Linked DNA regions of Rattus norvegicus. The protein of the gene in region 1 purifies or fractionates together with the protein of each later gene. This does not show direct contact. Links are inferred from orthologs where the notes say so. Each region holds a gene or a part of one and is shown in the gene's direction. Other genes may lie near its edges.

The links.
Region 2: the proteins of Sap30 (region 1) and Suds3 purify together in Homo sapiens (affinity purification with mass spectrometry; 4 studies listed by BioGRID and IntAct, with this or other methods). This does not show direct contact. The link is inferred for Rattus norvegicus from reciprocal best matches to the Homo sapiens genes SAP30 and SUDS3.
Region 3: the proteins of Sap30 (region 1) and Mta2 purify together in Homo sapiens (affinity purification with mass spectrometry; 3 studies listed by BioGRID, with this or other methods). This does not show direct contact. The link is inferred for Rattus norvegicus from reciprocal best matches to the Homo sapiens genes SAP30 and MTA2.
Region 4: the proteins of Sap30 (region 1) and Arid4b purify together in Homo sapiens (affinity purification with mass spectrometry; 5 studies listed by BioGRID and IntAct, with this or other methods). This does not show direct contact. The link is inferred for Rattus norvegicus from reciprocal best matches to the Homo sapiens genes SAP30 and ARID4B.
Region 5: the proteins of Sap30 (region 1) and Ing2 purify together in Homo sapiens (affinity purification with mass spectrometry; 3 studies listed by BioGRID and IntAct, counting the BioPlex papers as one, with this or other methods). This does not show direct contact. The link is inferred for Rattus norvegicus from reciprocal best matches to the Homo sapiens genes SAP30 and ING2.
Region 6: the proteins of Sap30 (region 1) and Sap130 purify together in Homo sapiens (affinity purification with mass spectrometry; 4 studies listed by BioGRID and IntAct, with this or other methods). This does not show direct contact. The link is inferred for Rattus norvegicus from reciprocal best matches to the Homo sapiens genes SAP30 and SAP130.
Region 7: the proteins of Sap30 (region 1) and Brms1l purify together in Homo sapiens (affinity purification with mass spectrometry; 4 studies listed by BioGRID and IntAct, with this or other methods). This does not show direct contact. The link is inferred for Rattus norvegicus from reciprocal best matches to the Homo sapiens genes SAP30 and BRMS1L.

The regions. Positions count from the first base shown.
Region 1 is NC_086034.1:37,757,197-37,761,293, forward strand, and holds the start of Sap30 (histone deacetylase complex subunit SAP30), read left to right. Parts: upstream 1-1,297; 5' UTR 1,298-1,570; coding exon 1,571-1,885; intron 1,886-3,661; coding exon 3,662-3,787; intron 3,788-4,097. UniProt on the Homo sapiens protein: Involved in the functional recruitment of the Sin3-histone deacetylase complex (HDAC) to a specific subset of N-CoR corepressor complexes. Capable of transcription repression by N-CoR.
Region 2 is NC_086030.1:45,151,464-45,154,963, forward strand, and holds part of Suds3 (sin3 histone deacetylase corepressor complex component SDS3), read left to right. Parts: intron 1-626; coding exon 627-722; intron 723-1,562; coding exon 1,563-1,624; intron 1,625-1,772; coding exon 1,773-1,794; intron 1,795-2,517; coding exon 2,518-2,623; intron 2,624-3,500.
Region 3 is NC_086019.1:215,273,397-215,276,508, forward strand, and holds the end of Mta2 (metastasis-associated protein MTA2), read left to right. Parts: intron 1-179; coding exon 180-408; intron 409-739; coding exon 740-829; intron 830-1,274; coding exon 1,275-1,393; intron 1,394-1,494; coding exon 1,495-1,643; intron 1,644-1,847; coding exon 1,848-2,013; 3' UTR 2,014-2,612; downstream 2,613-3,112. UniProt on the Homo sapiens protein: May function as a transcriptional coregulator. Acts as a component of the histone deacetylase NuRD complex which participates in the remodeling of chromatin.
Region 4 is NC_086035.1:55,878,383-55,881,882, reverse strand, and holds part of Arid4b (AT-rich interactive domain-containing protein 4B), read left to right. Parts: intron 1-514; coding exon 515-612; intron 613-3,117; coding exon 3,118-3,358; intron 3,359-3,500. UniProt on the Homo sapiens protein: Acts as a transcriptional repressor. May function in the assembly and/or enzymatic activity of the Sin3A corepressor complex or in mediating interactions between the complex and other regulatory complexes.
Region 5 is NC_086034.1:51,306,801-51,311,091, forward strand, and holds the start of Ing2 (inhibitor of growth protein 2), read left to right. Parts: upstream 1-1,491; 5' UTR 1,492-1,936; coding exon 1,937-2,105; intron 2,106-2,235; exon of another isoform or gene 2,236-3,472; intron 3,473-4,291. UniProt on the Homo sapiens protein: Seems to be involved in p53/TP53 activation and p53/TP53-dependent apoptotic pathways, probably by enhancing acetylation of p53/TP53. Component of a mSin3A-like corepressor complex, which is probably involved in deacetylation of nucleosomal histones.
Region 6 is NC_086036.1:23,551,745-23,555,244, forward strand, and holds part of Sap130 (histone deacetylase complex subunit SAP130), read left to right. Parts: intron 1-19; coding exon 20-255; intron 256-1,129; coding exon 1,130-1,288; intron 1,289-2,698; coding exon 2,699-2,810; intron 2,811-3,500. UniProt on the Homo sapiens protein: Acts as a transcriptional repressor. May function in the assembly and/or enzymatic activity of the mSin3A corepressor complex or in mediating interactions between the complex and other regulatory complexes.
Region 7 is NC_086024.1:79,032,803-79,036,235, forward strand, and holds the end of Brms1l (breast cancer metastasis-suppressor 1-like protein), read left to right. Parts: intron 1-1,352; coding exon 1,353-1,470; 3' UTR 1,471-2,933; downstream 2,934-3,433. UniProt on the Homo sapiens protein: Involved in the histone deacetylase (HDAC1)-dependent transcriptional repression activity. When overexpressed in lung cancer cell line that lacks p53/TP53 expression, inhibits cell growth.

The DNA.
Region 1 (4,097 bases):
CTGTCCCAAGCTGGTCTTGAACTCAGAGATCTGCTTGGCTTTGTCTCTTTGCATTAAAGGTATGTACTACCATGCTTGGACCTAAGCTTTTCATGGCCTCTATTCCTCAAGATCCAGATCAAAAGCCTGTGTCTTTCAGTCTCAAGATCTGGATCACAAGTGTGCCCTCCATACACAGATAACATGGATAACTTTTATTTTTGCCATGTTGATATATACATACATATACATACATATATACATACACACATATATGTACATAGTCACTGAATTGACAAAATCTTAAAAAGGCTTTCTTTCAAAACTCCACCTGAAATGCATTATTTTTGCTTAATCAGTAGGATTGCTAAATAGTCCAATAATTAGCAGAGGTGCAGGGTTGGCATGGCCACGCCCATCCCTCCACCCCGCCCACCACAAGCGCAGGCAAGAATACACGCTACGCGGGCACAAACACGTACCCAGGCGCGCACGCGCGCAAACTACCCCACCCGCGACACACATAAGCGCACACACATGCATATATATATGACTCAAGAGAAGAGGGTTCTCCGTCCTCGTCCTCTACAGCCAGCGCAGAGAAGTTTTTGAGGAGCAGTCAGCAAAGGTGATACTAGTGTGGTTCCTTTAAATGGTCTCAAATCCTCTTAGATCCTTTTGAAAGGGATCCAAGCTGCAGTAGAGGCGACAGGCAGCCCAATGCCTGTCAACCGGTTGGCACACGAGTGTACCGAGGACCTGACACGCTCTAGAAATCAGCTGCGGCACGGAGATGGAGACGTAGGACTCTGCGCCTAAAGAGCTCTAGGTAGCGCGAGTTTTTCCATAAATACCAACAGCCCGTAAACTTTTTCTCACTTAATCTTTACTAACCCACCACACACACACACACACACACACACACACACACACACACACACACACACACATATTTAGGCTTCTTTCTAGGAGTCAGCTGGCGGTCTGAACACTAACTTTGCGAAGAAACAGGAGCTAAATCCAGCCCTTGCTCGCATGACAGTACAGAGACGAGAAAACACGGTAAACGCCTGACCTCACAGTCAGATTTGCCCAGTGCTTGGAATAGAAAAAAAAAAAAAAAAAAAAAAAAAGACCCACGGGTGGCTCGCCGCGCGATGCATGCTGGGACGAGTAGTTTGTCCCGTCGGTCCCGCACGTAATCAGAACAGAGCGCAAGTTGGCTCCGCGACCAAGAACTACCATTCCCGTGGGGCCTCGCGGCAGGGGAGGGGCGGGGCCGGAGGAGGGGCGTCTCCCTCGCGCAGGTTCTGGGGCTAGAAGGAGGCGGAGAAGCTTCGGTCCAACTGCTGAAGTCTCCATGTGACAGTGAGTGGGGTCCCGTTTCTAGGCGCCACTCCAGTCCTGATCACAGTCACAGGAACGGGCCGCTATTCCAGCACCGGCAGACCGGCAGGCTTTGGACTCTGGGCGTCGGACCGTGCGGCCGCCAGACTTGGGGTGCGGAGTGAACGGCCGCCCCGGGGAAGGAGGCGGAGCGGCGCGGCGAGCGGGGCTCTGTAGCGGCGCCGGCGCCCCCGAACTGGCAGACATGAACGGCTTCACTCCGGAGGAGATGAGCCGAGGCGGGGATGCGGCCGCCGCCGTGGCCGCTGTGGTCGCTGCTGCAGCTGCCGCCGCCTCGGCGGGGAATGGGAACGCTGCCGGCGGTGGGGCAGAGGTACCCGGTGCCGGTGCGGTGTCCGCTTCTGGGCCACCTGGAGCGGCCGGTCCGGGCCCCGGGCAACTCTGTTGTTTGCGTGAGGACGGTGAGCGGTGCGGGCGAGCGGCAGGCAACGCCAGCTTCAGCAAGAGGATCCAGAAGAGCATCTCCCAGAAGAAGGTGAAGATCGAGCTGGATAAGAGTGTAAGTGGCCCCGGGACCGCCCTGCCCTGCCTTATCCTGCGTGCCCTGCCCGATCTTTGGCGGGGTTCACGAGTCTCTGAGACTGGGCTGCAGGTGGGATTAGTGGTTCTCTGATTGAAACAAAGTCCCTGCAACTCCGGCCACCTTCCCCCCAGCGCGCGCTCGCGCAGTGGTGCGGGTCCCCTCCTCCCCTCACCCGGACTCCCGCTGCCTCGCGTGTCTCCCACGCCAGGCTTCCCTCTTCCTCCTTTGCTGCGATCTGGAAACGAAACAAAGGGGACCGCGACACCAAGTAGTTTTCTCGCAGCCGTGTAGTCCCTTCTGGAATGGAGGCGCCTTTGTTTTGCTGCCAGAGCCGGTGTCTGCCCCAGGGAGCAGCTCTGTAGCTCTGTTCCTCTAGGGAAAGTAGAGTCTGGCTGGATCCCACAATGCTTCTCTCTCTCTCTCTCTCTCTCTCTCTCTCTCTCTCTCTCTCTCTCTCTCTCTCTCTCTCTCTCTCTCTCTCTCTCTCTCTCTCTCTCTCTCTCTCTCTCTCTCTTTCTCTCTCTCTCTCTCTCTCTCTCTCTCTCTCCCCTTCCTTCTGCCCCCCCCCCCTTTTCTTTTTCTTTCCTCCTCGGTGTTCTCTTTCTCTTGAACACAGGCAGGGAAGCCGAGCTCACCAGTTGCCTTGCAGAGAGATGGTTGTAAACGGCGTTTGCGGTGTCAGCTCTTCGGGCAGCTGCTCTGAACCAAGGCTGCAAATAAGCCTCTGCGGTTTTACAACCCTCTCGGCAGCCATCGGGATTTCTTTTTCTGTCTTTATGCACGTCTGCTGTTTTGGCCAGCTATGAGGTTTCAGAGAATTCCACTACTACTTTTCAGAGCTCTGACTGATGGCAAAGGAAGAACAAGATACAGAACCTCCACACATCCTGTATATTTTTAACTTGCCCTTAGCTTAGAAGTCAATTGAAAAGCCTGTTCATTCGGCCTTTAATTGTAGCCTTAAAAGCGGGGAGGGGGAGAGTGTCAACCAGCTCAGTACTTTCTATCCCACCGTATATAACTCTCAAATGCCTGAGTAATTACATTTTTTTGAAAAGTTTATTTGTGATTCTGTTTGGGCAGTTTCTCAGTAGGGTCCATGAGAAACTTTGTAAGTGAACGTGAATAATTTCAATTTGCTTTAATTGAAAACAACATAATACAGTGAAATGCATTCATTTAATTCTTGAAAAGAAACCTTGGGGCTTGAAATTTAAACATAGGATATGAATATGAATTCAATGACACATTCGTAAAAAAATGCATACTTTGTATCTGTGTAGAATTTGACTATCTAATTAGAAAGATAAGGAAGCATATGTGCCATTAATATAATTTGCTGTTCTCAAGTTAGAGAAAATACTAACAAGTACAAAATTGTGGGCAATGTCACCTCTCCCCTTAAGTCAAAACCAGCAGGAGCTAACTTATTTAGGTCACCCTCGATGCAATTTGGTGACAAAACACAGAGGATTGGAATTTCTCTTCCTCTGCTTGTCTGCCTGCCAGGTGCCTGCCTGAGTTCTCCAACCATTCTTCCTACCAGCCCATCACTTTCTACTACACCCCTCCCCCAATCTCCTTAACAGTATCACAGATTGCTAATGTTACAGCAGTTTAGTATTGGAAAGAAACATGCATCCTCTTGCCAGTGCCATTAGACTGTTTTTAGTGAGCTGCCTGGGCCTGTGCAGTTTACTGACCTTAGTTTTCTGGACTCACAGTCTTTTAACCTTTCTTTGTCCTTTCCAGGCAAGGCATCTTTACATTTGTGACTATCATAAGAACCTAATTCAGAGTGTTCGAAACAGAAGGAAGAGGAAAGGGAGCGATGATGATGGAGGAGACTCACCTGTTCAGGACATCGACACTCCAGAGGTAGACCGCAGGGTTTTCTATAGTGAATTGTCAATCATAATCACACTGGCAACTCCAAAACCGTTCTGTAAATATTTAACCATTTAAAGCATCTGAGAAATCTCAAAATTAAATACAGCCAGTAAGTTGGCTTTATATTAATATTAAATCTCAGATGACAGTCTTATAGTTCTTGATATACAACTTCCCCTTTTATTTCTCCAAAAGTTTATAATATGTATTCCCCAAAGATGGAATTGTTTCATAAATTACAGGTCTGATTTTGTAAATGAAGTCATGTGAAGTGCCATACAGATCAGTGATATCTTTT
Region 2 (3,500 bases), on another chromosome or scaffold:
TTCTATGCTGCCCCAGTTGAGCTCTGGGGCTCCCTGGCCAGACTCAGAGGAAGTGGATGTTTGAAGCTCTCAAGAGCAGGACTTGCTGGTGTTGAAAGTAAACCTGCAGGCAGGGGCAGGCTTGGGTGACAGGTTTGCCCACCGCCCTGGGGAGAGCATATCTGAGTGGCCACTGCTGGGGGAGGAGAGGCTACCCTGTGTGGAGTCCATCTACCGAACCTCATGTAGAGAAATCCAGAATGAAAGGCAGCCCCATTCCCAGTCTTTGGTGTATCAGTCTTGACCTCAGGTAGCTACAAAGGGCTTGGGGTCAGTTGCCTTTAAAAGGGTTTTCTATGCCCCTGGGCTTCAGCCCCCAGCCTCTGTGGAAGCAGCAGACATGAGGTGCCTGCCTGATCCGCAGCCTCTTTTCAGTCCCATAGCCTGTGACTATGGGTGCTCAGCCAGCCTGACTCAGGTAAGCACAGGGCCTGCAGCCTGGCCTGGGCGTCCAGGGTCTCGCATAGACTGAGCTTGCTGGTCATACAGCTGTGATGGGGTGTCCGTGGGACAAACGTTCTTAATCTGCCTGGACTCCAGCTGGCTTCAGGGGCCGTTGGATCGATTCATTCCTGTTCTTGACACAGATTCTATGGAAGTGAAACCCATCATGACCAGAAAATTACGGAGGCGACCAAACGATCCTGTCCCCATTCCAGACAAGAGGAGAAAACCAGCTCCTGATATCCACTTGTGCCAAGCTTGAATGGTGTAATCCTGTGCTTGCTGGCTTGATAGAGTAGACAGGGCGGGATCTCACAGAGCAGTGCCAGCACTGGTCGGGAAAGCATATGGAAACCCACGGGTCGGGTGGCCGTTTTGCCCTGGAGTCTTCAGCTATTGCTTTTTATTGGAGAGGTTTCCAGAGAAGTTACATAGAAAGGAACTCTTTTAGAAACAGCCTTGTTTTCACACTCCCTTAGAGCTCAGGGCAACTTACAATGAGATATGTAAATTGAGGGACAGCTGTGTCCACCAGTTATCCGACTATAGTACTGGGCTGCAGACTGCCCGGGCCCACCAGGTACCTGCCTCTGTACTGCTGGGCTGTGAACTGGCCACAAGTAGGTAAGGCGTTTATGGAAAGATGCTGTGTACCCATAGACATGGCCGGTGGGCCAGAGTGGGCTGTACTTTGTGTGCCTCCAGCCGAGGACAAGCTCCAGGCCCTCTCACCTTCGCAGCACAATTAAGCCCCTGTGAGACTAGAGTTTCCCTCTATGTCTGGAAAGCTTCAGTGCTTTCAACCCTGAGATGAAATTGTCCCCTTACTGTCCTGTGTTCCCACCACTGCTGACATCTAATTCCCTTCCCCTCAGAGCAGTTTGTCCGAGCGAGAGGCATGTTGAGTTCTTCCCTATGCCTGATGACTTTTAGCACGAGAGTCAGCGTTTTAAAGAGGAGAGTTCTTACCTTGAGGACAGCCTCTGTGTGGCCTGGGCCTCTCCAGTCCCAAAACGTCGGGGCGTTGTGTGCCTTTCCTTGGAAGCCATGCGATGCACATGTTCTTTAACTCTCAGCACCTCAGCTAAACTACTTGTTGACAGACGAGCAGATCATGGAAGATCTGAGAACACTGAACAAGGTACAGTGGGATGTTTCTGACGTACTTGAAAGCTCACATGTGACTTAAGTCCCTGTCACTTGTTAAAGTCACCGTGACACCTCTGATGCTTTAAGTTGCTTGTAAGATGATTTTCTCTGAGACCTTTTTGTTGTTATTCTTCCTACAGCTTAAGTCACCCAAGAGACCAGGTGAGTGCCGATGACATTGCCAGTCTTTGTCCCCTGTCATTGGGAAAGCAGGTGTGTGGTTTCCAGGAGTGAATCACAAGAAGTCATGAGGAGGACAGGAAATCATAAACCCGTCTCTTCTGTGCTGTCTCTTTAAAGCCAGCCATTCTGTCTTTTCCTTAGGACTCTACTGTAAAGGAGACCTTCGCTTGGCTCTTGGAGGCTCCTTCTGTGTGGGTGTCGGGCGGACACTAGGTTCAGGACCATTTTCAGTTCCACTCTTGAATCCATCGGAAATTTCAGTGTCCTGGGCTTTCTGGAGCTCAGCCCTGGCATTACTGGTCTGTGAAGGTCTGGTCAGGTTAGGCCCCCTGGCTGTTCCTAGTCCTCATTAGTAGGCCATACACCCTTGAAACACTCAGAATATTTCACTGAGCTATGCTGATTTGGTGACCACACTGAGTTTAGAATCAACATGTTAACCTGGCAGTGAGGGGCCACCAGGTTACAGAGACTGATGCAGTCAGCACTAATGGCCCCCGTGGATAGCCAGAGGCCCCTGTGGATAGCCACTGCACCCAACCCAGGCAGCACAGTGACTTTGGCTCCATAACTAACTGAAGGACTTGTTGGTCAGGGCTGTGGCCTCACTGGTGTATCAGTTCCTGCGTGGCATCGCTGAGCCCCTTGCTCAGGCCAGGTTCACTTGTCTGCTTGTCATCTTGGCGTCTCTAATTCCTCCAGCCTCCCCATCCTCTCCTGAACACTTGCCTGCCACACCTGCAGAGTCTCCAGCACAGAGATTTGAGGCGCGGATAGAAGATGGCAAACTGTATTATGATAAGAGATGGTAAGTCACGAGGAGCATGTGCGGCTCACAGCCGTCTCGGAAGAGCGATGGTAAGTTGTGAGGCGTGTGGACAGCTCATAGCGGTGTCAGCAGGGCTGTTGGGAGGGTTGGGCCGGGTGAGCCGATGTTGTCTCTGTTTTCTCGGCTTAGCTCTTTGGACATTAGTTTAGTTTCTTTTGGTGGTGCTGAGACTCGGGCCCAGTGCTGGGCTCTGGCCCAGACTCGGAGCCTTTGGTGAGCTTCTGCTTGAAGACTAAGGGCCAGCTGGTGGATGCCTCGGGAGGCCACTGAGAGCAGTGTTTCTCCAAGCATGCCCTGTGGAGCTTTCTGTATCATGTTGCTGTCTCCACGCTAGAGTTTACAGGCTGTCCCCGTCTAGCCATGACAGGGTATATGGCCTTCTCCACCCCCTCCTATGTTAAAGGTGACAGGAAGAAAGGGTTTTGTGATCTAAGCAGGTTGGAGGTAAGCCGAGTGGGTGTTCTCAGCGCCACACGGCTCTCATGGGGTAGATGCTTTTCACCCGACGGCGGTACCTTTTCTTAGACAGTCCTGTTGCTCTCAGGGTGTAGTGTAGTTGGGAGATTATATCCTAAAACTCGTAGATGAGCCGTTCTGGTTGCCTGTGACTTTCGTTGGAAGTAATAGGCAGGAACTCGAGAAGCTCATTTATTCATTCAACAAACACTGGTTAGACAACCCAGGTAGTACACCACTCCTGCCATCTTTTCAGTGGTCCTTTAGCCCCGATGTCCATGGCTGCTGTTGGACATCCTGTGCAGGCAGGTGCCGTACGTGCACATGGCTCGCCCTGATGTTCAGTTGGCTGTGTGGGGGAGGCGTGGGCCACTATAGGGAGTTTCTGTCTTCCATTTGT
Region 3 (3,112 bases), on another chromosome or scaffold:
GACTTCTTCCATGGAGACTGTCAAATGGGCAGGAGCACTTGCTAAGTATTGGGACGCCAGGAAGGTCGGCAGGGGTTTCAGTGAAGAGGTCAGGTAGGAAGTTTGCTGTCTGCAGGTGATGGAGGACAGAGCTGCAGTGTTGATTTGCCTTTTCTCTTCTTTATGTATCATTCCTCCAGGAGCCACACTCAAGAGGTCATTTATCCAGACCTGAAGCCCAAAGTCTCTCCCCCTATACAACCAGTGCTAACCGGGCTAAGTTGCTGGCTAAGAACAGGCAAACTTTCTTGCTCCAGACCACAAAGCTGACTCGTCTTGCTAGACGGATGTGCAGAGACCTGTTACAGCCAAGGAGGGCTGCCCGAAGACCCTATGCCCCCATCAATGCCAACGCCATCAAGGCAGAGTGTAAGGACTGCGTGCTAGTGCAGAGGCTTTGATCTGCCATGTCTGATGGTGTATGCTTAGAACATAAGCCCTCAGGCTGAGACAGGATATAGCTACCTCAGTCCCTGTTAGACCAGGCTATGTAATGGCTCCGGCCTAGCCTGGATTAAATAGTAGGACCCAATCTTAAGAAACAAGGCTAGGCATTGTTACACATGCCGGTAACCAAGCAGTGGAGAAGTGGAGTCAGCAGGATGATAAGCAAGTTCTAGGCTGGGACTTCACTGCAGAACCATTTCAAAAACCCAAAACAAAGCTGCAGAATGCCCAGAGGCTCTTCTCTCTTCTCCAGGCTCTATCCGACTTCCTAAGGCTGCCAAGACACCGTTGAAGATTCACCCCCTGGCGAGACTGCCCTTGGCAGCTATTGTCAAAGATCTGGGTAGGAGATGGGAACTACACTCAATCCAGGGTGGGTGGAAGGTTGCCAGCTAAGAGTCTTTTCTTCCTCAGAGTTTTCCTTTCACACTGAGTCCACATAAACTGTGTGTGTGTGTGTGTGTGTGTGTGTGTGTTCTCTTATTATGGTGCTTCTTGTGATAATTGGTTTTTGGTGGTGGTGCTGTAGATCAAAACCCAGAACCTCATGTATTCTGGTCAAGTATTTACCATTGAGCTCCATCTCTGGCATAGTAGTGGCTTTACATAAGTATTTTCTGATCTGAAACATGTTTTTTAAAATTTGATTAAGTAGCTTGATAGACCTTTTTCTCCATTACTAATCTTTAGGCCATTAGGGTAAACAACTGGTCAGGGTAGAGAGGGAAGAAAGAATGGTAATGAGAAGGTCTTGTTCTATTTCATCTCCCTTCTTCCTCTGCTGATAGTGGCTCAGGCACCTCTGAAACCAAAAACACCTCGGGGCACCAAGACACCAATCAACAGAAACCAGCTGACCCAGAATCGAGGCCTGGGGGGCATTATGGTGAAACGTTCCTATGAGACTGTGAGTGACAGTGGACTGGGAAGGCTGAATGGGGTGGGCTTTTATTTCTAGTAGGAGTCTAAGGAAGGTAGCTCCTTCATGTACACCATGTCCTTTTCCAGATGGCAGGGGCAGGGGTTCCCTTCTCTGCCAATGGAAGGCCTCTGGCTTCAGGGATTCGTTCAAGCTCACAGCCAGCAGCCAAGCGTCAGAAACTAAACCCTGCTGATGCTCCCAATCCAGTGGTATTTGTGGCCACAAAGGATACCAGGTAGGGAGGGAGTCCACCATGGGAGGGGCTGAGAGGCTGACGATCAAGTTGGCGGGCATTGGAAGTTGTAGGAGTGTCTGAGAAAGAGAGGTGCACAGCAGAATGAGGCGAGGGTAGAACTGTAGAGTGCATTGTGGAGTTTTATCTGGTTGAGTCTTGCTGCTCCTCAAGCCTCCCTGTTTCTGTCTTGCTCTTTTTGGCCAGGGCTTTAAGGAAAGCTCTAACTCACCTGGAAATGCGCCGAGCTGCTCGAAGGCCCAACTTACCCCTGAAGGTGAAGACAGCGCTGATGACAGTGCGGCCCCCAGTTCCTCTGCCGGCATCTTCACATCCTGCTAGCACCAATGAGCCCATTGTCCTGGAGGATTGAGCATCTTAGGGGAAGGGAGGTGGGATGAGAGGTAAAGGGTTGGTTGCCCAGGGCATACAAATCTTCATTCCTTTTGGTATCAAAGGGAGTAAGGAGTGAGGGAGGGTTGGAGTTGGTGTGCGTGTGTCCTTGCAGGGGTTGAACACCCTCTGGTGTTACTGCCAGTATCTCCCCTTTTTGGGCTTCTCCATGCCTGTGATGGAAAACAGCCTATAGGAACTTACTTGTGTGTACCTACCCTATTTGGGGCCTGGGACCCACAGTGGGTTTGGACAGTTGGGGGGAGGGTTTTTTAATTTTTTTAAAAATTTACCTTCCTTTGTAAAAGGATGGAGGAAGGGAAGAGTAAACATATCAGGTGTTGGTCCCTGGCAGGGGGAAGGGGGAGTACACTGCCATGTCTCTTTTCTTTATTTTCTATTGGGGATGGGGGGGTTACTCTTACTGTCCGGTGTCCGGACTTTCCTTATTGGAGTTTGAGGGCCCTAAGCTGGCATCAACCCCAGCCCATGCTCACTCTTCTTCCCTCCCCTTTCTCCCTCTGCCTTTTATATGCCAATTCTCAGAAATAAAGATCTTTTGTCTGTTTTTTAACCTCAGATTCTGTAATTGGTTCTTATAGTGACGAATAAAAAGCTCTTTTCTTCAGCTCCTCCAGGCTCAGCTGTTTTCTGCTGCTGCTGTGTGTGTGTGTGTGTGTGTGTGTGTGTGTGTGTGTGTGTGTGTGTGTGTGAGAGAGAGAGAGAGAGAGAGAGAGAGTGTGTGTGTGTGTGTGTGAGAGAGTGTGTGTGTTGTGAGAGTGTGTGTGTGTGTTGGGGGTATCTTTGAGGGGAAATAGAGGACAAAGGACATTGAAAGAGGTACAGATGGTGCTTGTTCTAGGAACAGCTTTACGAGATAAGCAGTGGGACTGGAGGTAGTCTGTGCCAGCTAGCCTTCTTGTGGGACTAAAGCTTCTCCCATTGGGGCTGGAGTGCAAGCAGTATCTTGATCTGGATTCATTCAAAGCTCTCTAATGGCTCTGAGTCTCCACAGAAAGGTGTGAGAATGTCTTCCTGTTACCCACTTCTCCCTTTTGATGCTGGGGAGTTGATCCCAG
Region 4 (3,500 bases), on another chromosome or scaffold:
CACAGAGCTCCACTTGATTATGCTACTCCCTCCCTCCCTTCCTCCCTCCCTCCCTGTTTCCCTCCCTCCCTCTAAAACTTTTGTGTTTAAGCTGATCTGAGATGGTGTTTTAGTTACCCTGTATGGGTCATTTAACTCAGAGTGTGCTCTAGATTAAAATACTTTACAAAGTTCACTGAGTAATTTGTCTTACTAGCTTGTGAATTTGATAGGAAAATGTCAGTTTTTCTTTTTGTTAGAAGTGTTGATTTAAAAATAATACTTTTATATTTACTATAACTGAATTTATTTCAAAGTTCAATAGCTCAATATTTACATACTTAGAGTGGTCTGGCATTTGTTTGAGTACTCAAACTTTTTATTTGTAAACCACAATTAAAATTTATCATTTATTTTTCATGCATTTGAGCCTGGACCCAGTAAATGTAGCTCACCATATTTGTTATGTGTGCTAAAATGTATTACTGCCATCCCACTTCGAATTTAAAAATTTTTATTTCCCTTTGTCCATTAGATTGAAAGTGGAGCTGTTTGGAAGCAAGTCTACCAAGACCTTGGCATCCCTGTCTTAAATTCAGCTGCAGGATATAACGTTAAATGTGCTTACAAAAAGTGAGTCGGTGTACTTGACGTGACTGTCTTCATATCTTACCTAAAAACAACATGCAATATATCATTTAACTTAAGCTAACTTAGAAGAAACTGAAAATTTTTACTATTTAGTCTATAGAAATAATTCTAGATATTAAAGAATCTGTAAAGAAAATGTTAGATTCCATCATCATGTGAAAAGTACTGCATAGAAATTAAAAGCTCATGTCCCAGAGCCAAAGGTATCCTATTAGCTGTGGGTATTCTTTGACCCTATCTGGCTTTCCTTAAGTTTATTTTCCCTAGTTTATTTACAAAGGGGTCACTATGGCTTGCCCATTAGGAATGTTCTGCTTTTGAATGAAGTTTACTAAAGTGCCTTATACTTTGCATATTATAAATACTCAAAATAGATTTTTACCATTTATAATCTTTATAGCTTCTCCTTTGTATCTACTGTTGTTACTTTTATTTAGATTGTAACTTTTCACTCTTACTTCAGGTATTATTTTTGAAGTTCCTTGGGCGCTTCATGTGTTTTGACCACATTCACCCCTAACTCTTTCTTCTCCACCCACCCAACTTTGTTTTTCTTTCTCCCTTTCCTTTCCCTTTCTTTCTCTCTCTTTACTTCCCTCCTTTATCTGTCATTTTTTTTCTACAAGACCAATTTGTGTGGCCTAAATATTTTTAAATGTATGTTCTTCTACTTGGAGAGTGGTTAACTTACCAGGGATTATACTTAGAGAGAAAATTCTGTCTGTCTGTCTGTCTGCCTGCCTGCCCGCCTCCCTCCCTGCCTGCCTGCCTCCCCGACCCCCCAGCAGCTAACAATTACCAATAGTTCCATAACTTGGGTGGGATCGAGTACTCAATTTGGTCTGGTTTTGTCTTACATAGGTTTTGTACATTGTATTACAACTACTTTGAGTTCATGTATGTAGCTCCCCTGCTGTGTATAGAAGACAGTTTCTTTGTAGCCATCCACTACAATAGGCTGTTGTACTCCTTACATTCCTTCTTCCACAGTGGTTTCTGAGTCTTGGAAGGGGAGTAGCTATATATTCATATACACATACACATGTATTTTTTCTGTATAGGACTGAGCATTCTGCAGTCTCTTATTTTCTGTACCTTAGCTACTAACTATTTGTGGACCATTGTCTACTGCAAGTAGAAGTTTCTTAGGTGATCTGTGAGTGTAATGGTAAATTATTAGTTTAATATTTGTCCATTAAGCCAAAGATTAATAGGTTCTCCTTTAGGGCTTGTGACCTAATGACACAGGTTCTTAGCCTTGTAGTGGTACCCAGGTATGGGTTTTGCTCTGTGGAGTGGGACTCACAGGAAGCAGTTGATTACTCCCACAGTGTTTGTGCCACTGTTGCCCTAGAGGGCACGTTTTCCAGGCCACAGTCATCATTGTAGCTGGAAACGTTAAAATAGTTGGGTGTGATTAAGGATTACTTTTCTCCTCCCGTAGTTTACTTAGCACCTTTCAGACTATAAAAGACAGCATTTTGGGATGAGATATCCACGTTTCTAGTAGCATGAATCCTATAACTCAAGCATGTGGTGTCTTCAGTAGTAGTATCTTGCTCTCCAGTTCTGAAGGGTAACCAAGAGCAGTTAGGTAATAGCTTAAACTTAAAATGTTTCAGGGGTCTATTGACTATCAGGCCTATAGCCTTCAAAGGCAGTAAGTAACTCATCCCCACTGGGCTTTTCATTTGTTATCTTCTGGTGTCTAGTAGGGGCATTGTTGATCGATTACTGCGTAATGTGTTTTTAAAAGGTCTTTGTTATTTATTCCCTTTTCTAACACACCTTCCATTCCTTCACCCCGGTTTAACTCTTCCTGTTCCATTATTCCCTTTTTAACTTTTTATACAAGTGTATTCAATCCCTTCCCTTAAAGGTCCCTTCTTTTGGTTTCTTAGTAACCTCAGACCTTTGTGGGTATTTCAGATGAAGTACACATATTCCGAAGATTGAACATTAACATTTACAGACAACTGAAAACCTGATGTTTTTCTTTCTCGGTCTGGTTTACCTCACTTTAGAGTGATTGTTTCCACCTCCATTCATTTACCTGTGACTTTAAATAGTCAATTGATTTTATTTGATACAATGTTTAAAATGGGGGGTGGGGCGTTTCTGGGCATGGTGGCCCATGTCTGTAACCCCAGAATTTGGGAGACTTGAGATAAGAGAGCCAATAATTTTAGGGTTACACATTTAGTAATTTTTCTCTCAATAAAAGATGGAGAACTATTAGAATGTGTTAAGATGATCATATAACCTAAGACATGAATGCATATTAACTAACAACTTTGTAAAGTGGCCACTGTAATGCATCTGTGTGACCTCCAGGAGGCTTTAGCATCTTCTCCGGCTTCAGGCCACCCCCCCTCCCCCCGCACCCCCAATGAAACAAAAAGAAAACAAGCTAAAGTAACCCTACACACTATTCAGTAATGTATTTGAGTGTTTCTTGCTAAATGTATCGTTTTTGCATGTTTCCAGGTACTTATATGGCTTTGAAGAGTACTGCAGGTCGGCAAATATTGATTTTCAGATGGCATTGCCAGAGAAAGTTCTTAACAAGCCATGTAAAGATTGTGAAAATAAAGAAATAAAAGTTAAAGAAGAAAGTGATGCAGAGATCAAAGAAGTAAATGTGGAAGACAGTAAGAACATGATACCAAAAGAGGAGACGCCTGCTGAGGATGAGAGTGAAAGAAAAGAAAATATCAAACCCTCTCTGGTAACCATATACCGTTAATTGTCATCTGTCATCTAGATAGATTTTCTAATCATTTGTGAAGTTCTTCCAATCAATTTATTAGCTTTCTATGCATTATTATTCTTTTTTTTTTTTTTCTTCTTTTTGGAGCTGGGGACCTAAC
Region 5 (4,291 bases), about 14 Mb from region 1:
TAGTGTGTTTGCCTGGGTTGACCTAATATTCGACTGGTCAAAATCTCAGCGTTAAAGGATATTAACCCCTGAGTTCCCAGGCCTTACAAGATAACTCTTGTCCTCGGGACGCCGAATTCCGCGTTGTGTTTTACGAATCCAAATTTTCACTTAGACCCGGACCTAGATTTCCCTTGGCAAACACCTGCTTTGCATATAGCACTTCGCAAGTGTTCGGAACAGGCCGTGCAACAGGTACAGCGCTGCAAACCAGGCAAGAGCACCCCAAACTCATCTCTCTGGCCTTTTCTTACTCAGAGACTCTGCTCCCATGGGGGTTTACACAAGCGTTGCATCAAAATTCGGTGAGTACTCTTACTTATACCTATTTCTGGGGAAACAAAAACAAAAACCAAACAGCTCACATATTTATATACATTCCGGAAGTCTATCCGTAATTACAGTTAGCTCCTCCTCCTGGCATTTCACTGATGGTACTGGGAGAGTAAGGCGGCTAACCAACCGCTCACACAGACAGCACCGCACTCGGTGGCTGATCCGATTTTTAATCCCATCTGCACGGCTCCCCTGCTGGTTAGTGGTGAAGCCGAGTGAAAATACAGTGCCGCGCGCGTGTGTGTAGTGAAAAATACAGTGTCGTCTGTGTGTATGTGTGCGTCTCTCATTCTGCGGCCACGCCAAGTCCTCCCTGGTGTGTGATGCCTAAGCGATTCGACCTATGGAAACAGTGTCCTTAAGGTGGTTTGGGGTCGGGGGACAGGGCGGGGCGCAGTCTTGTCACCTTCTCCCTAAACCAAACTCTAAGGCGCGCGGGGAGGGGAGCCGACCCTGCGAGCCACCCTGGAGCTGGGGGGAGGGGACCGCATGCGAGGCGGGAATCGGCATTTAAAAACCGAGGGCAGGGGGCGCACCGCCTACCTCCGCGGTCGGCCCCGGTACTCCGGGAGCCTGGCGGCGACCGGAGCACAACCGTGGCCGCGGGGCGCTCGGCGGGAAGTCGCCGCGCATGCCCGGAGCCGCGCCCGCTGCACCCTGGGTCGCTTTAGTTCTCTCAGGCCTCACTCGGCCAGCAGCGCCCAGGGGCCGCTCGCTGCTGTCTTGGAGGCTCGCGAGGGAGGCGCTGGATCCGCCAGATGGAGGCAAGGTCGGTAACTCGGGACCGAGCGAGCCGAGCAGAAGCTTCCTCTCCCTCCAGGGTCCAGAAAACGAGAGAGCGGTCGCCTGGCCTCTCGGGGGCAACCGTCAGAGTTTGGGCGAAGGGGCAGGCTCAGCCATGCGGCCCCTTTAAGAGGGGGCGGGGCGCAGCCTGCCGTTTGGCCGCCCTCCGCACCCTCCCCCCGCCCCAGGCGAGAGTTGACAGACCAATCGCCCGGGTGGCGCAGGGAAGGCGGGAGAATGCGAACTCTTCGGTAGGGCGATAGGGGCGGGGCCCCAGCCTTATTAGGAGTGAGTGCTGCGCAGGCGCAGATGCGGCCTCTGGCCAAGGGGCGGGGGCAAGTCCACTGAGACTCCGACAGGCAAGGAGGCTGATAGCGAGGCGAGAGGATAGCGAGGGTCTTGTCACGGGGATCCGGGCGACCGGGCAGCTCTGGTGGTGTCTGGGGAGTCCCAGGGGGGACAGCCAGTGTCACCGCCCGGGAGCCCGGCGCCGTCGGCCGCGGGGAACCCCGCTGCTCTCTCCCAGCGAGGGAGGGGGCCGGAGGGAGCCCCGGTCTCGCCCCGCCCTTGGGCTTGTTACCGCGGGGGCGGGGAGTAAGGGTTTCTTCTGGGGGGAGTGGAGATCGGGGGACTCGGCGGTGCCCTCTCGAGCGGCGGCCGTGTCCCCGCGGCGCCGGGCTGCCGAGCGGAGGAGCGGCGGTCGTGGCTGTTGCATGTGTGGCTGCTGGATGCGGAGGCGGCGGCGGCGGCGGCGGCGAGGAGCAGCAGCGGCGGCAGGATGTTAGGGCAGCAGCAGCAGCTGTACTCGTCGGCCGCGCTCCTGACCGGAGAGCGGAGCCGGCTGCTCACCTGCTACGTGCAGGACTACCTGGAGTGTGTGGAGTCGCTGCCCCACGACATGCAGAGGAACGTGTCGGTGCTGCGGGAGCTGGACAACAAATACCAAGGTACTTTCCCTCTCTCGGGTGTAAGTGTGCGCGAAGTGCACCGAGCGATCTGGTGTGTAGGACCGGGAGAGGGTCCTGCACAACACACTCGCGGCCCTCCCTGTCCCGGCTGCGGCTGACTAGGACTTCCGAGGACCGCCCGTCAGCCCCCGCTGCAGCTCTGGCGGCTGGCTGCAGCTGCCGCGGACCGGGAATCAGCCATTTTAAGCGAGCATTTGTTCCGGTGCCTGCCGGCTGGGTGCCGCACTCTGTCCTGCCCGGGGCTGGCGAATGTGCAGCAGCGGGACGCGGGCTGGACTAGGTGCTGGGCCTGCTTGCCCCTTGCCCGCTGGGCTTCCTCCCTCTGCGAGCAGATGCATTGGAACGTATGGGGGGAGGGGGAGAGAGGACGGCGAAGGTGGACTCCGGAGATGCACCCCCCCCACCGCCTCCCGGCGTGGCGCGGGACTGGGACAGTCTGTGCTTCCCTTTCGCCCCGGGGAAAGTTCCGGGCCGCCCGGTGCCTCAGCTCTTCCTCTGCTATTGCCCAATGGTTAAAGGGGGAGGGGTCCCCCGCAGGGCCGGGCGGAGAAGGGGTGTGTGTCTGTGTGTGTCTGTGTGTCCGTGTGTGTGTCTGTGTGTCTGTGTGTCTGTGTGTGTGGCGGGGAGGGCCCAGCCTAGGGGCGGGGCCTGCAGGTGTGACGTCGTATGGGCGGGGCGCGCGCTCCCGCGGGCGTCGGCCACAGCGGGCTGCTCCTAGGGGCCGGGTGAACTGAACTGACTGCGGGCGGGACAGTAGAAGGGCCTGGGCGGAGTTAGCGTTGGGTGGTGATGTTTCAAATCTGTCCTACCCCGAGAGTGAATCAAGGCGCGGGCACTGCCGTGGGACTGTCTCTGACCCTGGCTTAGCGTAGGTTCCGGGCTATGTGTCACTTCCGGACTTCTGGAGGAAGTGGGTTCGTTGGCTGGGCAACCACCTGGCGTCCTTGCACCCTTGGGTTCCTCCTCCACCAAGTTTAAATGAGGAGAAAAGCTTTTTTGTGTTGTTAGCAAAGAAACTAGGGCAGGGAATTATCTTTAGGGACTATCATACCTTTAGGTCCTTTAGGGACTGCTAGGACAGGAGATATTTAAATGGGGATATGTTCAGGCTTTAGTAACTCCTAGTCAGGAAACTGTAGAGATCTAATATGGACCATAAAAACAACATGGAACCATTCTGTTCTCCCGGACCATCACCAGTCCTGTAACTTAATCCTGTAATACAGCCCATGATGACTTAGCACGTTAGAGCACTTAGTTGTTTCAATCTACAAACTTGTTTTCTGAGTCTCTGATAAGATTGTTTATAGAACGTCAGTGTTTTCACCAGATTCAAAATTTATGAGGTAAAAATTTACTTTAGACAAAATTTATAAAGATGAAGTGATGTATTCAGTTAATTATGTGGAGAATATTTTATCTCAAAGCTGTCTGTTTCAAAAACAACCATTTTTAAACTGCATGATTCCTCTCATTCCCAAGAGACTGAAGTTAGGTCTCACACAGGATAGGTAAAAGTCCTACAAGTCTGCCCCTATTTCCACCCTTTTATAAAATGAGCATCATCCTGTGGTATTTTATGGGGGACATATGTGAATTGCAATCTAGCAGTGAGACATGAGCTTGAGAATTCTTTGCCAAAATATGTAGTTTCTTTATATCAAAACTGTAATGTATTCTTTGAAGGCGCAAAAATCACACTCTTTTAGGTTGGTAGTGACATAGTTTTTTGACAGGGAAATCTGTGATGCCAGTTACCTATAATTGTCATAAATTGTTCAGGTAACATGAGTAGTTGACCTTACAAGACTCAGGTTAATGCAAATCAGCTCCATTCTGATTGGGATTAATTCCAAGGTTAATACACAGATAGTGGCCTTGCTTCTGCGTTGGCACCTAGTTGCTAAGCTCAACTTCACAGTTTTATTTTTGTTAGAAGCTTTATATATTTCTGTTTCAGATTTTATTTTCACTGATTCGTAAGTATTTTCTAGTGTGGGGGTCTGATGTAAGTGTTTTTCAGAAATTATTGCACGGTCTATTAAGTAGAGAAACAAAGGAAAACACAATTGATTTAAACATTTTTTGCAGGGTTGGGGATTTAGCTCAGCGGTAGAGCGCTTGCCTAGCAGGCGCAAGGCCCTGGGTTCGATCCCCAGCTCCGG
Region 6 (3,500 bases), on another chromosome or scaffold:
ATCCTAATATCTTCACTAGTTAACGAGGAGGCTGGCCGAGATGCTGATGTTGGTACCAGGGAGCACGTGGGCCCTAGCAGCTCCCTGCCGCCCCGGGAAGAGAAGCAGGAGCCAGTTGTGGTAAGGCCCTATCCACAGGTACAGATGCTGCCCGCACACCATGCTGTCGCCTCAGCCACTCCTGTCGCAGTGACAGCCCCGCCAGCACACCTGACACCAGCAGTCACACTCTCTTTTTCGGAAGGACTTATGAAGGTAACAGTTTAAAGTTCACGCTGAACCACAGCTGGAGACAGCTTGCCCTTGAGCAAAGCTATCCGAGTCTTAGGTTGGGTCCTAGGGTGCTTCCTCAGCTTTTCCCCTCTGACTGTCAGTTCAGTCTTCACTGTAATGTAGAGGTTTACTCGTCTGCAGTGATGAGGCTGTCCTGGGCACTTGGCGTCACAGGAGTTTTCTGTTACCCTTTTTTGTTGTTGTATTTTTTATCAAGTTGCTTATTTGTTTTAAAATGAAGTTTATACTATAATCCAGGCCGTCCTGGAACTCCCCATGTAGACCAACCTAGCCTCAAACTTGGGACCGTATTCTTGGGTCTGCCCCCCACTTACTGGGATTGTAGGTGTATAGCACCATGTTTGATTCTGTGGTATAATGTTGATAATTGCTCAGCTTACATATATGCTAAGTGAGTTTGATCTTGGAACTCTTTCCCGTGGTTTGCTTTAGAAGCTGACTCACTTGGGGGTATCTGAGCCTGTTGCTCTCTGTGTTACTTGGGTTAACTCAGTAACTTTTAGTTACTGAGAGTTCTGTTTACTTCTGTGCAGATGTGAGAGGCAGAATTGTGTAGAAGACAAGGCATATAGTGTGAGCAGTACAGATCCAGGCTTTCTCCCCAGTTCTGCTTTGTACTTTCTGTGTCTCTGAGTAAGACGTTTAGCTTGTCTGGACATTTCGTCCTCTGTTCTATAAACCACCAGTAGTTCTGCAGAAGAGCTGTGCTGACAGGTGAGCCATGTGCTGCCTGTCTCATTTTGTACGCCTCTGCGACTGGACGTGTGTGCTGTTAAACTGAAATGCACCTCTAGGCAAAGCTATTGACACGTCTCCTGCACTTTTCTATTTGCAGCCATCCCCGAAGCCCACCATGCCGAGCCGTCCCATTGCTCCTGCTCCCCCTTCTACCATGTCACTTCCCCCGAAAGTTCCAGGACAGGTTACTGTTACCATGGAGAGCAGCATCCCTCAGGCTTCAGCCATTCCTGTGGCAACGATCAGTGGACAACAGGTTATTTTCTCCTCCTGACTGTTAGTTTTCTAATGGCAGTACCAGCTGTTGATTATTGTGTATTTAACTCCAGGGATGCATAAGCAGTGTCCTAAATAATTAAATGGTTACTGGTGCCCACAGAGAGAGAACAGCGCTGAATCAAAAGGAGTAAGTCCCAGGCTGCTTAGTGGTTAGGCTGTATCTGCTGGGCATATCCTGTGCCAGCTACTATGCTACCTTCCTAATAAAATCACAGATAGTTACAAATAGAGTTACAGCCTTCACGTGCTTAATTAGAAAGAGACAGTTCTGAGGTGAGACTGCCTCCCAGCAGGATTGTTGGAGGCATCCTAGGTTTTCTTGGGGATAGTAGATGTGTAGCAGGCTCTGTCTGCCCTGTTTGTGAACATTTATACCAAAATCTCCTGTTTGAACTTGAAATTTTAATTGTATTCCATTATTTGTAGTTGATTATTTAATACTTTGAATTATCACACTTATTTGTGAAGAAACTAAATCTTAAGATTCTTTTCCTTTGTTTTTTTTTTAAATATTCATTTACTATATATAAGTACACTGTAGCTGTCTTCAGACACAAAAGAAGAGGGCGTTAGATTCCATTACAGATGGTTGTGAACCACCATGTGGTTGCTGGGAATTGAACTCAGGACCTCTGGAAGAGCAGTCAGTGCTCTTAACCACTGAGCCATCTGTCCAGCCCCCTTTGGTGTTTTTAAGAAAAATTAATATTTAAAAAAGATGCCCTGTCTTGTTCTCAGTTTAATATGCTAAGTAGTTTCTAGAAGTCTGGAAATGTCACCTGAGATGCACTTACGTCAGTGTGCTGGATACTGAAGGAATGAGCTGAAGCCCTTAGAGGCAGTATCTGTTGGATTGACTGACATGCATGTAGAAATCTTAAATAGCATAAACAGTAATGGATACAAAGATCTATTTAAAAAAAATAGAGTGGTGGGTAAATGAGCCTGTGGCCAGGAAAGGGAGAACAAGTCTAAAAGACTGGTGCAGACATGAGCTACTACAAATAGACCGTCAGATGTCTCCTCGGTCCGGGGTCTGGTAACTAGCTCAAGTGCACTCACTTCTGACCTGCTCGCTTACAGGTCATTATTATAACACAGTAGAAGACAAAGCTCCCGGAGCCCTTTCCCTGGGTGCCTCCCAGTTGAGATTGGGTGTATGCAGGGTAGTATAGCCGTACACAATACTCAGTATCCAAAAGGAATGGCCTGACTCAAGACCGTACGTCAATCTTGAATCATACATGCTTTTGCCCTGGAAATCTCCAAAACAGCATAAAGGAAAAGGAAAATTTTCAAGAATAGCCTGACCCAGTTTGAAGGAAAGTGACTTTCTGTAGGCAATAGCTAAGACTGTCCTCGTGAACATTGTCACTGTTTCTTCCAGGGACATCCCAGTAACCTGCATCACATTATGACCACAAACGTTCAGATGTCCATTATCCGCAGCAGTGCTCCCGGACCCCCTCTTCACATCGGCGCTTCCCACTTACCCCGAGGTAACAATGCACAGTGTGCTCCGTTAGGGAAATACTATAGCAAAGAGACGTTGGCTGGAGGACAGGGTGACAGCTTAAAGTGACAGGGCAGTGGAGATAAACCTGCAGCAAGACCGACTTTCAGCCCGGCGTGTTGTGTGCTCCCTACAGTTACCTTAGAACAAGTCTGTGGTAATCTAAAGGAAGAGAGTTTCTCGCTGTCATTTTCAGGCAGTCTTCCTAGACTTCCTTCCAGGCTGGTCTCAGACTTGGGCTGGGCTCCTCCTGCAGCTTCCTCCTGAATGCAGATTGCAGGTACACAGCACCACTCCTGGATGGTTGTGTTTGTAACAGGGCCCTGCAGTGCAGGCCTGATGAACCTAGAACTCAGAGACCTGTCCTAACATCCCCTTCGAGTTACTGTGATTACAGGGTTGTACCCACACCTGACTTCCAGTGATACGTTTACGAAAAACGTTGATTAAAGTTTTAATATCCTGCAATAGGATTGACTTATTCTTATAAGTTAAATACATTGTAATCAATTTAAGGAGTTTTAACCTTCCATTAGAATGTAAAACAGTTGGAAATTGTTGAAAAAAATCAAACTAACAAATAGAACCAGGTTTCCTCAGAGCTGTCATAACCTGGCAGTTTGCAACAATCGTAGAAATGCTGAGACACTGTTTGCCTTTTTACACTGTATCCATC
Region 7 (3,433 bases), on another chromosome or scaffold:
TTAGAGTGGATCAACCTTAACATAGTGGATTTGCTTGGAATTTATCCATAAGTGATCCTGATTATTAATTCTTACAGTGTAATTAATCGTTATGATCTTAAAATAATGACTTTACAGACTATTAAGAACTTTTGGTGGGCCTATTAGTTCTTAATTCTTCTGGCCCCATTTCAGTTTTCTCGATAAAGAGACATATCAGCTGGCAGTGCTGCTCAGTTGTTAGAGTGCTTACTTAGCATACGCATAACCCTGGTTTTGGTCCCCAACACGACGTGAACTGAGCAGGGTGGAGAGCCTGTAATCCCATAACTAGGGAAGTGGAAACAGGAAGATCAGGCGTTCAAGGCCAGTCTTGAGCTGTGGGGATCTCTGCAAGTGCCACAGCCAGCAGAATAATGATCTGCATGAAGCAAAAAGACAATCCCACTCAGCGTAACTTAGTGGCCGGTGTTGGTTCAGACTTCTAGAACTGATTCTAGGCTCTATTTTAGTTATATTTTAGTACAGTTTGGGAAACTAATGCAAATCCTGTGTGCACACAGAGGCATATTACATTGAACTCTTCTCAAAGAAATTATCACTTCTTTCACGAAGACGGGTTCCAGATGGGCTTCATGTGACTTCCTTAGGGCCTCGGGGAAGATCTGGTGTGGTCTTAGTCATACAGACAGTACAGAGGTCACCTAGACTATTAACCATCTCCAGTCCTGTGTGTGGGAGCCTGGGAGAACTCCTGGCCATTCAGGTAGCACAAGGATCACCTAGGCTAATAGCCAGCTCCAATCCCAGACTGCTGGGTGGAGAACCCTGAGTGTTTAAATTCCTGGTTTTCCAGTTATCTGTGAGCACAAGGACCTCTGTGCTCCCAACACAAATAGCTACAAGTAGAGGTGGAGGGCAACCTGGGATACAGAAGACTGTATTTCAGACAAAAAATTACTAATTTAGGCAGGAAAGAAAGCCTATAAAATATCTTGCTGTGATCTTTTGCAAATATTAATGAATTATTGCCTTCGTCCTTTATAGTTAAATTCTCAGAATATCAGCTTTCTACTGTAAGAAACCCCTTTTGTTCTAGATAGCAGCATTAGAGTTGTTAGTGCAGGGCCTGGTACGTGAACCTGTTGAGCCTATTACATCTGGTGTGAGAGCTTGATTTAAGCTAATAATCTGAAGATTAGTATAAACCGGGGGGAGGCAGAGGAAATGCAAGCTCAGGGCCAACCTGGGCTATAAAAGCATGTCCTTAAATATATAAGGAAAAAGAAAAGAGAAATGAACCCCCAGTGATAAAACAATAAATGGAAATGAAATGAAGCACATTGTAATTCATTCTCTCTTTTCCTTTTTAGTGCTGTAATCACAACAATTAACCATGATGAAGTCTGGTTTAAGAGGCCTGATGGAAGCAAATCTAAGCTTTATATTTCACAGCTACAGAAAGGAAAATACTCAATTAAACACTCGTAATCACGGTCTAAGTGTTCCCCACATGTACCTTATTAGTGTTACCAAGTGTAATGTGCCATGGGAGCCAGGAAGTGTATTCAGCAGCTTAGTACTCCCACCCATCATGAGAGAATGTGTCTTCTAGGTCGTCCTCAAAGTAGACCCCATACTAGTAAGTCATTAAGAGGAATAGTGATTAGAGCTAATCATGACCATCACGTTTATTTGCCTCGTAGGTCCCGTGCCAACAGGTCTGTGTGGTATGTATTTCTTTCTCCATGTTGTTCAGTTTGTGTCTTACTCATGTGAGTGCGTCTCACCTTTAATGAGCTACAGCTGCAGTCCTCTGCAGTTTCAACCCCACCATTGCCACTCGTGTTTGTACATAAGGCTGATGAAATGTTTCCTATAAATGATTTGTATTAGTGCCGTAGTTTCAATCAGAACTGAAATTTATACACAAGTGTGTGCGTGTGTATATACAGTGTCCCCAGCGTACTTCAAACTGGTGGCCTACCTGTACAATCTTGTTTTACCCCAGATTAAACTGTTGGGTTTGAGGAGAAAAGGGAGCACTTTTGTAGACTGGTTTTCCTTCTCTTCTTCCTTGATGGCAGTGACCTCTTTGCAGATCATATTTGGTGTTTATTAGTAGCATTGTGTCAGGTGTGAACATGTTGCTGCCTGTGTTTATTGTGAGCTTTTAGAGGGCAGGCATCCTGCCTGGTGTTTATGATGCACAGTGTCAGAGTGACAAGTGGCTGGCAGTATTGTCCTGCTTTCTGCACATCTGAACTTTTGAAGATTTTAGTAAGCATTTTCCAGGGGCAAAACTGTATCCTTATTCTAATTTTATTGCTTGAGTAAAATACATATAGACATTTCCCTTAACTCTACCACCCCCAAATTAGCTTTTAAAGAAAAATCTAGTGTTTTTTACACTTTCAGGCCATTTGGTGCAATTTAGAAAATGTTGGCCTCTCTTCCTTTAGCCATGTTCAGAATTAACTTGGAAAGTCTCTGGAGCTGTGCAGAAACTGGAGCCCTCAGCCCGGCCGCGCAGCTGGCTATAGTGTGTACGTAGGGTACAGCCAGATGAAGCACTCTGCTGCTCTCATGCACTTTAATTTCTGTTACAATGGTATTTAAGAGGATGAAGAAGATTCACTTAACACTCCTCAAAGGAGTCCTGCATGATTCCGTTAGTTCCTTAGGATTTTACCTCTGCAGATACCCCGTGCAGGTTACTACTCCACAGTTGCCAAATTGTAACCGTCTGACTTCTGAAATTCAGTATCAGCAACCTTGTGCTGCTCTGTTCTGTTTCTGATCACCCATAGCGGCTGTGTGTACTGTCCCAATCCAGTAGCATTTGGCAGTGCTTATATATATATATACATATATATATGATGTTTGATAAGCATTTTTAATGAGATTTGTATTTTTAAATTTAGTATGTAATAAAAAGAAGTGTTTGAACGTCATTTGTAGTGTTGTGTGTTTCTTACCCACACTGCAGTTCGGTTGTTTATACCCAGTCCGCTTGTGTGGACGGCAGCAGGCCCACTGCTGTGGAAGGCTTCTGCTCGGCGTCCCACACTTGCACCTCCATGAGGCATATGTAAGTTATATTTAACTAAAAATACACTTGCAGTTGTGTTATATTTAAATAAGTGTACTCTGTTTTGAAATTTTAACCAGAAATAATTTAAAGATTTATTTCTCACACTTAAGCATGAAAACTCTGATTTCTATATTCTGACTTACTATTCCACCTTCATGTTAAGGTCAGGGTAACATTAAAATCATAGATTTATTGACAATTTACATCTCACTTCAGAGTGTCTGTCCTGTTGGTTTCCCCTTTACTGATAAAAATATTTGCTCTTTATATATAAATTTATTATTTACTGAGCTCTGGTTCAATTCTAGGTGCAAATCACATGTCATATAAATAACTGGCAAAGATTTCCTCTCATTTTGT